2 linked regions of the Anolis sagrei genome follow. The protein of the gene in region 1 interacts with the protein of each later gene in a pairwise test. Links are inferred from orthologs where the notes say so. Each region holds a gene or a part of one and is shown in the gene's direction. Other genes may lie near its edges.

The links.
Region 2: the proteins of CTNND1 (region 1) and ZBTB33 interact in binary tests that used the Homo sapiens proteins (3 or more experiments, as listed by UniProt). The link is inferred for Anolis sagrei from reciprocal best matches to the Homo sapiens genes CTNND1 and ZBTB33.

What each region holds. Positions count from the first base shown.
Region 1 is NC_090021.1:234,377,208-234,384,740, forward strand, and holds the start of CTNND1 (catenin delta-1), read left to right. Parts: upstream 1-4,521; 5' UTR 4,522-5,111; intron 5,112-7,533. UniProt on the Homo sapiens protein: Key regulator of cell-cell adhesion that associates with and regulates the cell adhesion properties of both C-, E- and N-cadherins, being critical for their surface stability.
Region 2 is NC_090030.1:3,275,096-3,283,074, forward strand, and holds the start of ZBTB33 (transcriptional regulator Kaiso), read left to right. Parts: upstream 1-4,957; 5' UTR 4,958-5,012; coding exon 5,013-5,055; intron 5,056-7,979. Other genes in the region: NKAP (NF-kappa-B-activating protein), read right to left, coding at 815-984. UniProt on the Homo sapiens protein: Transcriptional regulator with bimodal DNA-binding specificity.

The sequences.
Region 1 (7,533 bases):
TGCTTCTAGAACATGGCCATACAGCCCGAAAACCCTAAAACAACCCAGGGTATTCAGATGGTTTTTAAATTACAAGTGTTAAAATGCTGACTTTAATATGTATGCTTTTAAAACGGATTGTGTACTTTAATTGGTATTAATGTTTTTAACTCATAAGGAGAGGTGGGCAAGAAATAATAATAAAAATGAGAATAATAATTCTGTTAAATGTTCTTGAAGTATACATATTGCCAGTTTTATAGGAAAAGTTGTATAACATTGAATGTTACAGAAATTATGCACATGCAGTGATCAATCCTGAAGCTCAGTTACCCACCAGTTTCAATGCCACACTTACAATAAGAGAATCTCAAAATACTGGGATCTGCAAAGATACATTTCAGGAAACTTTTTATCACAGGGTTGCTGTGAGTTTCGGAAGTTCCAGAAGCATTCTCTCCTGATGTTTCACCCACATCTATGGCAAGCATCCTCAGATGCTTTTTATCACCACCAACAAGCCTTTTGTAAAACGAATGGGTTTTAATAGCTCTTTCAAGAGGATAACGTTCCCAGAAACTTTGCATTACAAGAGGGACAGCTCACAACAATACAATGCTATTGGGAAAATGCATTTTATCTCCCAGCGACTTTCAGGGTTACAGCTGAGCAATCAAGAGGGAACAATGAAGGGTGGGGAAAGATGATATACTGTACTCACCCTTGCTATTCGAAAGTCCTGATACAGTGCTTTAATCCTGTTAACCCTGGTTTGTGATGACAGCTTTCCTAGCTTATATTACAGGAATGTACAAAGTTCATGCTAAAGTGGTGAAATGAGCTCCAAATGCAATTAAAATTAGGATGTCTTCTCAAGCTGTCCTCGGTAAAAGTTATATAAATAATTATTATTAAATAACTGGACAAAATTGAACAAAAGTGAGTCGAAGTGGGCATACATGTCACCCTTGAATCCAAGCCACCCACAATATGGCTATAAGCCTCTTCTCAGTAGACTTAAATCAAGGAAAACTTTCATGAGAACCACCACTCCTCTAAACATTTCTCCAGCAACAAGAAGAATGCTCTTCCTCAGTTATAACTTTTGGTAGCCTGACCATATTTTGTTGTTTGGCCATATGTGCTCTACTTTTCATCCGTGAAACATTGGGAGGATATGGTGTTATGGTCTGAGTGTTGGGCTAGGACTCCAGGAAACCAGAGTTTGAATCCCTGCTCAGCTGTAGCAATCCATTGGGTGATCTTGGGCCTCAGAGAAAGGCAAAAGCAAACTTGACCAAGAAAAATGTACAATAGAGTTGCCCAAGTAGAAACAAACCGGAAGCCATGTAACAACCTGAAAGCAAAAATATGTATATCTCAAGCTTTCTTTTCAAATGACCAAGGCACAAAAAACCTTGATGGTGTTCCATTTTGAATTACCAGGTTGTTGTTTACTTTCAAGGTGTTTCCAACTCCCTGAAAGGGAACCCACCATGGGGCTTTCCCAGCAAGAGTCATTCAGCGGGGGTTTGCCATTGTCTTCCTCGGAGGTTATACCCAAAGTGACCTAGTGGGTTTCTGTGGCGACACACAGAAAACAGAACACCACAGTGCTCCTACTTCCTGTACTTGCCCATAAATTTAGACAACAAGATGATATTTCGTGTTTTATAAATGCAAAATTAAAATTACCTGATACCAAAACAAAGAATATGAACAGAAATAAAAGAAGAACATAAAAAAGAGGATAGGTCTCCTGCAACTTAGCAAAGGTCAAGGTAAAGGTTTTCTTCTGACATTCAGTCCAGTAGTGTCCGACTCAGGGGGTTGGTGCTCGTCTCCATTTCTAAGCCGAAGAGCCGGCATTGTCCGTAGACACCTCCAAGGTCATGTGACCTGCATGACTGCATGGAGTGCGGTTACCTTCCCGCTGGAGCAGTACCTATTGACCTTTTCACATTTGCATGTTTTTGAACTGCTAGGTTGGGAGAAGCTGGGACTGACAGCAGAAGCTCATGCTGCTCCACAGATTTGAACCTGCAACCTTTCGGTCAACAAGTTTAGCAGCTCAGCAGTTTAACCCACTATGCCACTGGGGGCTCCAACATATTGCATATAAGAAGGTGCTTCAGCATGCATAACTTGCATGACAAAAACATGGGCTAAAAAATCCTGTGCAACTATTGAAGTTGCAACACTTTTGTTTTCCTTTGTATCTGTAAGCCCTATATAGCTGAAGAACCTCCTATGAAATGTATGGAGTCACCATTAATCGATGGGTGACAAACACTGTTCATTCTTGGGAGCCAAAATGAAAAATATCTCAGCAAGTATTCCAAATATACTTGTCTCATTACTGACTATATATCTATCTGTCTATATATCAATAGAAAAGTGGTGTGGGGAAGGTGGGGAAGGTAAATTGCTCATTGTAATCTTGAATATATTTTCATAATAAGATGCAAAATAAAGCCTGCCAGTTGCTGTCCATTAACAATGCTTCTCAATTCTAATCAAGACTTGATTGCACATCACAAATATGCTGCACGATGCTGTCTCTAAATCTGAATGCATTTATAAAAGTAATAATGTAAAGGCTGTAGAAATCTAAACTTATGTTCCTTTTGTTACAGGCAGTGTAGCATCCTCGTTTCTTTCCTTCCTAAAATCAAGGATACAAAGGAATAAAAATGTGGTGGTCCTGTAAGAAAGCCAGAATAAATAAACATTGGGATTAAAATTAATAGGATGTTAGTTCGTATTTTAAAAGCTGGGCTCAAATGAAATCAGAATTAGTATTGTTGGGGATTAATAATAACAACAACAACAATAATAATGATTTTGTGATATGAAATCCAGAATATATATCTCGTTTGCTGTGTCATACTGTGTTTTTGTGTCAGTGGCGTAGTGGGTTAAACCACTGAGCTGCAAAACTTGTTGACTGAAAGGTCGCAGGTTTGAATCCAGGGAGTGGCGTGAGCTTCCGCTGTCAGCCCCAGTTTCTGCCAATCTAGCAGTTCAAAAACATGCAAATGTGAGTAGATTAATAGGTACCACTCTGGCGGGAAGGTGACAGCACTCCATGCAGTCATGCCGGCCACATGATCTTGGAGGTGTCTACGGACAATGCCAGCTCTTCAGCTTAGAAATGGAGATGAGCACCAACCTCCAGAGTCGGGCATGACTGGACTTAATGTCAGGGGACAACCTTTACCTATAATAATAATAATAATACCTATAATATTTCTGGGATACAGGGTTGTCCGGAAGGGCCCTGGGTTATCTGAATCCACACAGATGTAGTGTTTACTGCCTTGATATTCTGGGATATAGGGCTGTGTGGAAGGGCCGGGTGTCTATGCTTGATCTACACTGTAGAAAGGATGCAGTTTGACACCAACTACAACTGTTGTGGCTTAATGCTATGGAAGTTGTAGCTTGGTGGGGCACCCCAGTTTTTGGCTGAGCAGGTGAGAAGCCTTGCAACACTACTAACCCCGGGATTCCATAGCAATGAGCCATGGCAGTCAAAGTGGTGTCGAACTGCATTAATTCTAGTGTAGCTAGCTACACAGTCAGAAGAACTTCCTGACTGTGAGAGCTGTTCGGCAGTGGAACTCCCTGCCCCAGAGTGTGGTGGAGGCTCCTTCTTTGAAGGCTTTTAAGCAGAGGCTGGATGGCCATCTGTCGGGGGTGCTTTGAATGCCATTTTTGTGCTTCTTGGCAGAGGGTTGGACTGGATGGCCCACGAGGTCTTTTCCAATTCTATGATTCTATGGCTCCTACAGTTCATGGCTGTGGAAAGGAGATTCCACCTGAACATTAGGAAGAACTTCCTGACTGTGAGACCTGTTCAGCAGCGGAACTCTCTGCCCTGGAGTGTGGTGGAGGCTCCTTCTTTGGAGGCTTTTGAGCAGAGGCTGGATGGCCATCTGTCAGGAGTGCTTTGAATACAATTTTCCTGCTTCTTGGCAAAAGGGGTTGGACTGGATGGCCCACGAGATCTCTTCCAACTCTGGGATTCTGTAATTCTAAGAACTTCCTGACTGTAAGAGCTGTTCAACAGTGGAACTCTCTGCCCCGGAGTGTGGTGGAGGCTCCTTTTAAACAGTGGCTGGATGGCCATCTGTCAGGGGTGCGTTGAATGCAATTTTCCGGCTTCTTGGCAGAAAGGGGTTGGACTGGTTGGCCCAGCTCTATCATTCTCTGATTCTACCCCTGAATGGGAAGAAACGACACCCATTCCCCATTGAAAGAAGTTTTCCTTCCTTTGGGATTTGCCAGGAACATAGATGTCTTTTGTTTTACAGCCTTTGCAGAAAGAAGTTGCCCCTTGCCATTCCCCCTTCTTTCCTTTTTCTTTTCTGGGTGAGTCCTGTCCCATTTCCCTCTCTCCCTTCCTCCCCCCCTCAAATGCTACAATGGTATCTCCTATTGGACGGCGGGCTCCCTGATTGATGCCTGCTTCCCATTGGAGCCGGGCGGGAGCTGACATCACTCCGGGAAAGAGGGGGGTCCGGTCCTCCCTCCCCTCCCCTCCCTCCCCTCCCTCTTTGCCTCGCCTTTGGCTGGGCGCAACTTCCATTTTAGGTGTTGGAGCCGAGCGAGGGAGGGAGGGAAGGAAGAAGGAAGGGGGAGAAGCAAAGAAAGAAAGAGAGCAAGCCAGCCAGGAGAGAAAAGTCCCGCAGGAAGAGGAGGAGGAGGAGGAGGAAGAGGAGCAGGCGGGGAGTCCTACATTACCTCCCCCCCTCCATTCCATTGTTTTTTTTCTCTCTCTTCCTTCTCTTTTAAGGAGTGGGGCGCTTTAAATTCTTTGTTAGGCAACTGCACGCGCGCGGGTCTTGCAAAGGCAAGCCCAGTCCAAGGGAAGTTGTCAAGAGAGGGAGAGGGAGCGCGAGACAACGGGAGCGCGCGCGCGCGCGAGAGAGAGCAGAGTTGGTGGCTCTCTGCGAAGAAAGGCAGCCTGGAAAACTCAAGACACACTCCTTTCTCTCTCTCTTGTTTCGAAACCTTAAGAAAGTTCCAACTCGATTCCTAAGCAGAAAAGGAAGGAAGGAAAGGAGAATAATAATTGGTCAAGGAAGACTAGAAGCAAGGAAGAGTTGGAGGAAGAGAAGGAAGCAAAGGTAAGCCAAGCGCCGAAGGGGAGGAGGGGGAAGTGCAAAGCCAACTCTGGCTGGATCTGCTCCAGCATAGAACTGCACCGGGTTGGAACTGCATTCCATGTTGAGTGTAGACCAAGGCAAGGGCAAACTTGGCCCCTCCAGGTGTTTTGGACTACAACTCCCGCAATTCCTAACAGCCGGTAGGCTGTTAGGAATTGCGGGAGTTGTAGTCCAAAACTCCTGGAGGGCCCAGGTTTGCTAAAAGGCATCAAGCTGAAATGGTATAAAGGGGGTGAAGTCTTGGCCAGCTTTTCAATAGAATCGTAAGAGTTGGAAAAGACCTCGTGGGGCATCCAGTCCAACCCCTTTCTGCCAAGAAGCAGGAAAATCACATTCAGAGCTCCCCAAACAGATGGCCATCCAGCTTCTGTTTAAAAGACTTCAAAGAAGGAGCCTCCACCACACTCCGGGGTAGAGAGTTCCACTGCTGAACAGCAGAGTGCATCTACATTGTGGAATGAATGCACTTCGAAACTACTTTCTTTGCCATGGTTCCTAAGACTGGTTGTTTCACCAAGGTCTTCACTCTTCTCTGCCAAGGAGGGCCACTCCCCAAACCTGGAGCCCCAATAGGTGGTGCCAAACTGTGTCCATTCCCCAGTGTAGATGCATGCACACAAAAGAAAGAGACGGTGCTGGTGGCTGAGCCTCCCTTTGGAGGGCGTGGGCCTCTTGGCCTCAGGCGAAGGGATGTGTGGGTCGCTCTCAGGGTCCTGGGGTGGAGCTTGGCTCACTGCATTGTGTCTTCTACCAACTTGCTTTGCGTCCCAAGCTTGGGAGTTTGGCTTAAGGTTTCTTAGAGCTGCCCCTCCTTGGTGGCCCATTGAGCTGAATGGCAAAGAGAGACCTGGCCTTAGGAGTCTCTAGTGCAGGCATGGGCCAATTTGGGCCCTCCAGGTGTTTTGGACTTCAACTCCCATCATTCCTAACAGCCTCAGGCCCCTTCCTTTTCCCCCTCGGCTGCTTAAAGGGCCTGAGTACAGGAATTGTAACAGTTGAAGTCCAAAACACCTGGAGGGCCCAAGTTCGCCTGCTCTAGTTAAAGGAGGGGTCATCTGCTGTGATTAATCTGGAGTTTATGTATCTCTTTAGTGTGTGTATGTGTATGTGTATTGCAGAATTAATGCAGTTTGACACCGCTTTAACTGCCATGGCTCAGTGCAACAGAATCCAAGGAGTTGTAGTTTGGTGTGGCACAAACATTGCATGGCAGAGAAGGCAGAAGACGCTTGTAAAACTACACATCCCACAACCCCATGACATTGGGCTGTAATGGCAGTGAAAGCCGTTTCAAATGGCATTCGATGAGCCCCTTGCAAAACTACACATCTCATGATCCCATAGCATTGGGCCATAATCCTATCGGCATTCAGTGCATCCCAGGATTGTGCCTTGAATCGTGGGAAGCCCTGGCAGCCTGGACTTATCTTGAGTCGTAGGGCCCTTCCGCAGAACCCTATATCCCAGAATATCAAGGTAGAAAATCCCACATTATCTGAGTGTGGACTCAGATAACCCAGTTCAAAGCAGATATTGTGGGATTTTCTGCCTTGATATTCTGGGATATAGTGCCGTGTGGAAAGGCCCTTATTTAGCTTCAAACATCTCTGTCCTGGAAAAGGTCCTTGTCTAGCATTCATCTGTATCTTTCTTGCCTGTGAGATCCACCCTGGATTGAGCTGTCTCTACTGATGTCCATCCAGTTTGTCTTCCTACTACCTCCCTAATGAAGGCTGTGTCTTCATTAGGGCACAGACCTGTCTTTGTTAAACTCCTGTTCAGTATGATGTGCTAATAAGGTCTGTGAATCTTTTCCCGGTGTTTGGAGGGTTAGGAGGTCCAGCTTGGTACAGAAAAAGCAGTCCCAGTTGATCCTGGATCCTATGGAAGATGTTCCTGCCAGACTAAGATACAAAGAGCAAGGGGACAATTGTCACAGCCTTTGCGTTCGTTCTACCACATAATGGTAGCAAATGGACAGAATTCCAAAAGGAGGGGAGAATTTAGAAGGCAGCTGTTGGAGGAGCCGGCTGCATTCCTGGACTGGCTCCTCCGTGCCATTTTGTGCCTTCTCTTGTTCCTCCGAGGTAGATAATGCTGTGGAATTGCGGTCATAACTCTCTCACTCTCCCAGGGCCATACCAAGCCCCTTACAAAACAGCTTGGCTGTCTCCCTCCGGAGCATGAACACAAAGGCACTTCAAAAAGGAGCAGGGGAGGGGTTTCATACCTTCGGGGTCTCACCACAGCACAGTGTGTGGTGGGCCAGTTCCGGCAGTCACCCGCCCGGCAGTATAATAATGTTTTCTGAAATGCTAGAGATTCTGCATTTCTGCCTGTGTGAAAGAAACAATCTCCTCCCTTCACACAAAGGAAGCTTGAG
Region 2 (7,979 bases), on another chromosome or scaffold:
CTGCTTCCTTGGAGACTAGGACGCAATGGAACAATGGCTTCAAACTGCAAGAAAGGAGATTCCATCTGAACATGAGGAAGAACTTCCTGACTGGGAGAGCCGTTCAGCAGTGGAACTCTCTGCCCCAGAGGGAGTGTGGTGGAGGCTCCTTCTTTGGAAGCTTTTAAACAGAGGCTGGATGGCCATCTGTCAGGGGTGATTTGAATGCAATATTCCTGCTTCTTGGCAGAATGGGGTTGGACTGGATGAAGGCCCATGATGTCTCTTCCAACTCTTTGATTCTAGGATTCTATGATTCTATGAAAATTTTTACTGAGCACCTATATAGGGTCTGGAGAACAAGCCCTGTGAGGAGCGGCTTAAAGAGCTGGGCATGTTTAGCCTGAAGAAGAGAAGGCTGAGAGGAGATATGATGATAGCCATGTATAAATATGTGAGAGGAAGCCACAGGGAGGAGGAGGGAGCAAGCTTCCTTTCTGCTTCCCTGGAGACTAGGACGCAATGGAACAATGGCTTCAAACTACAAGAGAGGAGATTCCATCTGGACATGAGGAAGAACTTCCTGACTGGGAGCGCCGTTCAGCAGTGGAACTCTCTGCCCCGGAGTGTGGTGGAGGCTCCTTCTTTGGAAGCTTTTAAACAGAGGCTGTATGACCATCTGTCAGGGGTGATTTGAATGCAATATTCCTGCTTCGTGGCAGAATGGGGTTGGACTGGATGATAACCCAGGAGGTCTCTTCCCACTCTAGGATGCTAGGATTCTTTGATTCTAGGATGCGGCCTAATCCCCCCCGGAAGGCCTGCCCGGACTGGCCTCTGCCGCAGCGCCTCCTCCTGCTCCTTGCCGGCCTCTCCGTGCCACAAGCCCCGCGGAGGGAGGCCAGGCCTCGGCCGGGACCTCGACCGGGACCGCGACCTCGACCTCCGGGCTCGGCTGCTGCGCGGCGGCGAGGAAGGGCTCCGCGAGCGGGACACCGGCGCCATCGCCACGCTCCCCACACACAGGCCGCACTCGCTTCCGGGTCTCGACGCCACCAAAACAAACAGAGGCCCCGCCCACCAGGACGGAGACGTCACTTCCGGTGGAGTGGCTGGCTAGCGTCTTAAAGGGCCACCACCCACAACTATTGTAGCACAGAGAAGGAACAATGAACAAGATTTGGACTCACTGCGTTATTGTTGTTGTTCTATTATTATTATTAATAATAATAATAATTATGTACTATTATTGTAGTGTTATGCCTGTGTTATTAATACTTCTGTATTATTACTACTGTATTACTTGGACAGATACTGGTCAATGGACATTTAATCAACTACCAAACTCACAAATTTTGTATTCTGTATTTTGTCTGTTTGTTTGCTTTGTTCTTGTTAGAAATGTAATATAATGTACTGGTTGCCCTGACACGACAAATAAAAATAAATACTACTGTATTATTATTACTTCTGTTTTATCATTATTGTAATTACTGTATTATTAGTACTTCTGTATCATTGCTATTATTTCTGTATTGTTGCTATTGTAGTATTACTGTGTTATTATTACTTCTGTATTATTGCTATTACTTTATTATTACTGTGTTATTATTACTTCTGTATTACTGCTATTACTGCATTATTACTATATTATTATTACTTCTATATTATTATATATTGCGATTTGAATGCAATATTCCTGCTTCTTGGCAGAATAGGGTTGGACTGGATGGCCCATGAGGTCTCTTCCAACTCTTTGATTCTATGATTCTATGATTCTAATATATACTGTATTATTGCTATTACTTCTGTATTGCTGCTATTGTAGTGTTATTACTGTATTATTATTACTTCTATATTTTGCTATTATTGCATTATTGTTGCTTCTGTATTTTTGCTATTGTACTGTTATTACTGTATTATTAGTACTTCTGTATTATTATTGTAGTGTTAATATTGTATTATTAGTACTTCTGTATTATTGCTATTACTGTATTATTAGTACTTCTGTATTATTACTATTGTAGTGTTACTGCTATTGTAGTTATTGTATTATTATTTCTTCTGTATTATCACTATTACTGCATTATTACTATATTATTATTACTATATTATTATTTCTTCTGTATTATTGCTATTACTGTATTATTACTGTATTATTAGTTGTTCTGTATTATTGCTATTGCAGTGTTATTAATGTATTATTAGTACTTCTGCGTTATTACTATTGTAGTATTATTACTGTATTATTAGGAATTCTGTATTATTGTTATTGTATTGTTATGGTTGGGGAATCTGAGCTGTTAGGCTCCAAAATAACCCTCAGTTAGGGCAATGCCACCAAAATATAGCAGAGTACCAGGAGTAAATTCCATAGCCAGCAGAAACTTACGTGTGATGAGCAGGAAGAGCCTCTTAACCTTTAGGAAGGCAGAAGGATTGCAGAGACAATGTTTAGTTTCAAGATATTTATTAAATAAAAAGAAATACATTCTTGACAGAAAAGTCTTGGAGTAAACTAACTTGCTAAATCTCATCTTCTAAAGAAGGCAAAAAGTAATTCATTCAATGCAGCTACGTCCCTCCAAAACTGGCAGGAAGACACGTATCTACCCTGCTCTATGCAGGCGATGCATTGATACTATCCAGAACTCAAGTAGGCCTGAAAAGAGCCTTGAGAGCCCTAACAAAATATTGTAATGAAGAACAGCTTCATCTTAATAATAATAAAAAAACAAATTATGGTGTTTGCGAAACGACCCAAGCATCATACCTGGAGACTAGACGGACACAATATTGAACAGGTCTCAAGCTTTAAATACCTGGGAGTATTCTATCACTGCACTGGAAACAAGAAAGTACATGTGGATTACGTAGCAGACGCAGTGCAAAAGAGCTCATATGCTATCCTAAAGTTTCTCAAAACAGGAGGAGGCCACTTTGGAACACCCTCCCCAAAGACATTAGACTAGCACCCACGTTGGTAGTCTTTAGGAAGAACTTGAAGACCTGGCTATTCCGATGTGCCTTTCCTGAATAGGATAACCTCCAGCACTACGTCCCAGAAGCACTATTAGAGCTTAAGACTCTCTGCACATTGCACTTGCCCAGAATCCCAACATATCACCTCTTACACCCAGCACTTTTTTAACCTGTACCCTTCATTGGCCCGACCCTGGTTTTATTGTGTAATAGTGTAATGTTTTGTTGTTGTTATTGCTTATGTTTTTAATTTGCTTGCATTGTATTGTTATTGTCTGTTGTTGTTGTTTGAGGCCTTGGCCTTTGTAAGCCGCATCGAGTCCTTCGGGAGATGCTAGCAGGGTACAAATAAAGTTTAATAATAATAATAATACATACATACATACCAGCAGCACTTAAGCTCTTTGAGGCAAAACCAATAGCACAAATGATGTATGGAGCCCAACTCGGTCCCTTCTCAAACTATGCCCCTCTGGCGCAGGTACAATCAAAATTCCTAAGATGAGCGATGCAGATCCCCAGATGTGTCTCAAACGCCACCCTGCGACTAGAGACAGGCCTCGTGAGAGTGGGGGCGAGAGTGTGGACAGCCACCCTCAATTACCGGCTGCATCTGTCTCTCTCAACATGTGGCCTTGCTCCGTTAACTCTGAGAGATGAATTTCAGTCTACATGGAATAAGGCAGTGGCCATCAAAATCACAACTCTAGGCTTCTCTCAAGGACAACTGCTAGGTGTGGGATGGGACCAATCCAAGGCTCTTATGAGACAACGGATCCTGGATAGAGAGCGACAATGAGCCTGCTCTCCAGCATTCACCATTAGCGAAGGTAACAGATATCTCCTCGCTCCCAGGGCTTACTTAGCAAACCTGGAGGGGTTTCACTTTGGCAAGATGCCATGCCCTTCCATCGGCAGTACTGGAGGGGAGGTACAGGAAGACCCCTGCCCAGGAGAGACTTTGCCTGTGTGAGTCTGGCTACATTGAAACAACTGAACATGTGCTCCTCCAATGTGTGTTCTATAGAGACATTAGAGCTAATTTCATCACTCCGTGGCTTTTAAAACATCCAGGGCACACTGAAAGATATTACACCTCCCTGTTGTTCTCGGACTCTTGCTCTGCAACAACCTACAGTGTTGCCAAGTTCTGTGCAGCAGCAATTAACATGAGACGGCTGATGACCGACTCCACCAGGCAACTTCCTGCCGGGAATATAGTTAGAATGATTTGCAATAACTGAAATGCTGTAAATGCTCCCCTCTCATCCCTTTTTAGAGCTTCCCAGTTGTCTGATATTTGCATTAGCCGCCCCACTATTTTAGATTCATACATGCACTTTAAACTGTAAGTTTAGTCTGCTTTTTAATCTGTCTCTTTTATAACATGCTTTTAAACTGCTTTTTATCTGACCTACTTGGGAACTACGATTCCCTTCCTTGGGCTCTTGTGCCCCATTCTGTTCTGTGCTGATCAAAGACCGTAATAAATCATTCATTGATTGATAGATAATGCAGCTACATTTTGCCTACAGAGAGGCAAAATGCGTCCTCGCTGGAAGAAAGACAAAAGAGGAGGTCACATGGCGGAGACTGCCTAGCCTTCCTGGGGCAATTTAAACTTAAAAGGCAGTTGCTGAATTCCATTACTGTGCCATCAAAGTGGGGAGGAGGCAGTGGCCAGCAGTAAAGACAAGGCCCTTTGAAAATATGCACAGGAATGTGGGGAAAGGAATCCCTGAGCTTGGCCCTGTTTCTAGGCCAGCTACTCATTAAGGACTAGAAACTTGATGCAACAAAGACTTTTGAAACCCAACAATTAGTACTTCTGCAATATCACTGTATTATTGTTGTGGTGATCAACTTCTGCTCGTTCACTCTTCTCTTTCCTATCTCTAGAGTTCAGCCCAGGTGTCACACAAATCTTCCTCCCCCGCAGCCTCCAATGGGTGCGTTCCTTATTGCTGTCCGTGCGGCAAAGGGGGGCGGTCCTTAACGTTCCGGGAGGCCGTCCCTTTGTGAGGCAGCTTCCGAAAGCGGGAAGCGCGAGGATGGAGCCCGGCGCCATGAAGGAGGCGGGAAGCGAGGCTCCCGGTGAGAGGAAACCCTTCCCTAGATTAGTTTGGATGCAGCTACACTTTAGAATGAACCCAGTTTGATACCGCTTTAACTTCTAGGGCTTAATCCTACGGGGTCCTGGGATTGGTAGCCTGGCTAGGCCCCTGCATTCTTTGGAAAGGACCCTGCGAAACTCTGGCCCCGTCTGCACTGCCATATAAAATCCAGATTATCTGCTTTGAACTGGATTATATAGCAGTGTAAACTTTGATAATCCAGTTCAAAGCAGATAATGTGGATTCTTTGCTTTGATCAGGATTATATGGCAGTGTAGACTCAGATAATCCAGTTCAAAGCACATAATGTGGATTCTTTGCTTTGATCAGGATTATATGGCAGTTTAGACTCAGATAATCCAGTTCAAAGTGGATCATGTGGATTCTTTCCTTTGATAATCTGGATTATCAAAGCAAAGAAAGGGCCTTGCTCATTCTGGATCTACACTGCCACATAATCGAGCATCTGATCCCAGATTATTAATTTCCTTTAACTGCCTTTAATTATGGATCTATTCTGCTATATCGTCCAGATTTTATCAAAGCAGACTATCTGCTTTGAAGTGGATGATAAAGAGTCTACACAGCCCTATAATCCAGATTATCAAATCAGATAATCTGGGATCAGAAACTGGAATATGTGGCAATGTAGATGGGGCCTCATTCTTAACTTCGTACAAATGTTTAGGCCCCTTCTGCACAGCCATATGAAATCCATATTATCTGCTTTGAACTGGATTATATTGCAGTGTAGACTTGGAGATTATCTGCTTTCATAATCTTAGATTATATGCCAATGTAGAAAGGGTCTTATTCCTATTGTAAGAGTTAACTTTTACCAGTTCTGCACTGCACACACATTTAAATGTGTTGTGAAGGGGTGGTTTCAATGGGCAGGTTACACTATATGTGCCTTATTTATTTTTTGCTTCCCAAATGTTTGTTAAACTTGAAGCAAACAGGTCAATTCAAACTAAATCAATATCTCCAAAGAAGGAGATTCTGGCTTGCTGGTAACAGCCTGCATAATGGATTGGATCCTTGGAGATAGGTTGCAACCTGACCAAGAAATGTTGTGTTTTGATCTAACGTTATCATGGGTTTGGGGCAGGTGTGTTCACTTTTCAGCTGGAAAAGATGCAGTTTGCACGAAGATGATGAGATGCATGAGATGACATGTCTGTACTTTAGGCAACTATGGGCTGCCTTGATTTGAAATGAGCTGTTGCTTTTATCGATTCCGACCTACAGAGAGTCGATCGCAAATTTTTCCTGGCAAAACTTGATCAGGGAAAAAAGAAACGCTTTGCCATTGCTTTCCTCTGGATGTGACAAGGTTTCTGCGTCCAACTCTGGTCTCCACGGTGCTTAAACAACAACACATCTTAGGCCCCATCTACACTGAAATATAATCCAGTTTCTGAATCTAGACTATCTGTTTTGAACTACATTATAGGGCAGTGTTGACCCAGCCTTTGAAGGACAGTATTGTGCATGTTAGGATACCATCCTCTTGGAACAATAGTAAGTAAAATAAAAGGAACTAGCGGTGGAGTCAAACAGTGTGGGGAAATCAGATCTGATATTTTTCTCTTTAAAGGGGATACAAATAAAAAAGGAATACTGGAACTATGTGTCCCAATAGACAAGTATTTCCGGTATTTCTGATGGTAGAGAAAGTACAAGCAAGTGCGGTCTTGCTTTTGTTATTCCCCCCCCCCCCCACCCTCCAGTTCTGTAGGCTGGATCTACAGAACTATATAATTCAGATCATCAGTCAAATAATCCAGTTTATCTGATTTGAACGGGGTTATATGAGGGCCCTTCCACACAGCCTATATTCCTGGAATATCAAGGCAGAAAATCCCATAGTATCTGCTTTGAACTGGGTTATTTGAGTCCATACTCAGACAATGTGGGATTTTCTGCCTTGATATTCTGGGATATAGGGTTGTGTGTAAGCGCACTGAGTTTGGACTCAGATAAGGCTAATAGAGGAGTTGTGGACCAAAACATTGGAGGATCAGTGAAAGCTCAGTGGATGGCATTAGATGAGTCATATTCTGGTGTTGTTGAAGGCTTTCATGGCTGGAATCACTGGGTTGCTGTATGTTTTCTAGGCTGTATAACCATGTTCCAGAAGCAGGAGATAATGATTCTGGAATATGGCCTTACAGCCCGGAAAACTCACAGCAACCCAGTCATATTCTTCTTGAATAATTCATAAAGTTTTGGGGATAATACAAGGTGGAAAAAAAGTGCTACCTACACCTCATGCTCTGCTATTGGAAGGCCAATGCAAGCTTCCTAAAAAGTTCTTGCAGTGTGTATTCGAGGTGTTGATTGTGTTTGAGTTGTTGATGCTCTTTCAGGGAAAGCAGGGAAAGTACAAGAGCAATTGCTGCCATTTCAGATGAATGGGCGTTAATGGGCTGCTGTTTCCATGTGAAAGGGAAATGGCAATTGCTGCCTTTTCAGGCGGATAGGTCTTTAGCTGCCCAACTCTAACAGAGGGATTTATTTTTAATGGCTCTGTGAGATCGCACCTTATAAACCCAGGGCAGAATAGTTTTAGAGTGATGCTGCAGAGTGATTTTAAAAGGTGAGAAGTCCTTTACGTCAAAATATGTTTGGTCAAAATGCCATCTTGAGGCCAAGCTGGTGCAATTTAGGAACTAAATCAGCAGCTTTGTGGACAAAAGGTTAATCTTAGAGATACTAAGGAACTGTGGGAGTTGAAGTCCAAAACACTTGGAGGGCCAAGTTGGCCCATGCCTGCTCTAGAGCAAAAACATAGAAGGAATGGCTTGTATTCCAGTGTGGTTTTGGTTCAGTGGCACCCATTGATAGGGCAGGTAACAAATAGTCTTGTTGTTTGTTTGTTTATTTATTTGCAACATTTAT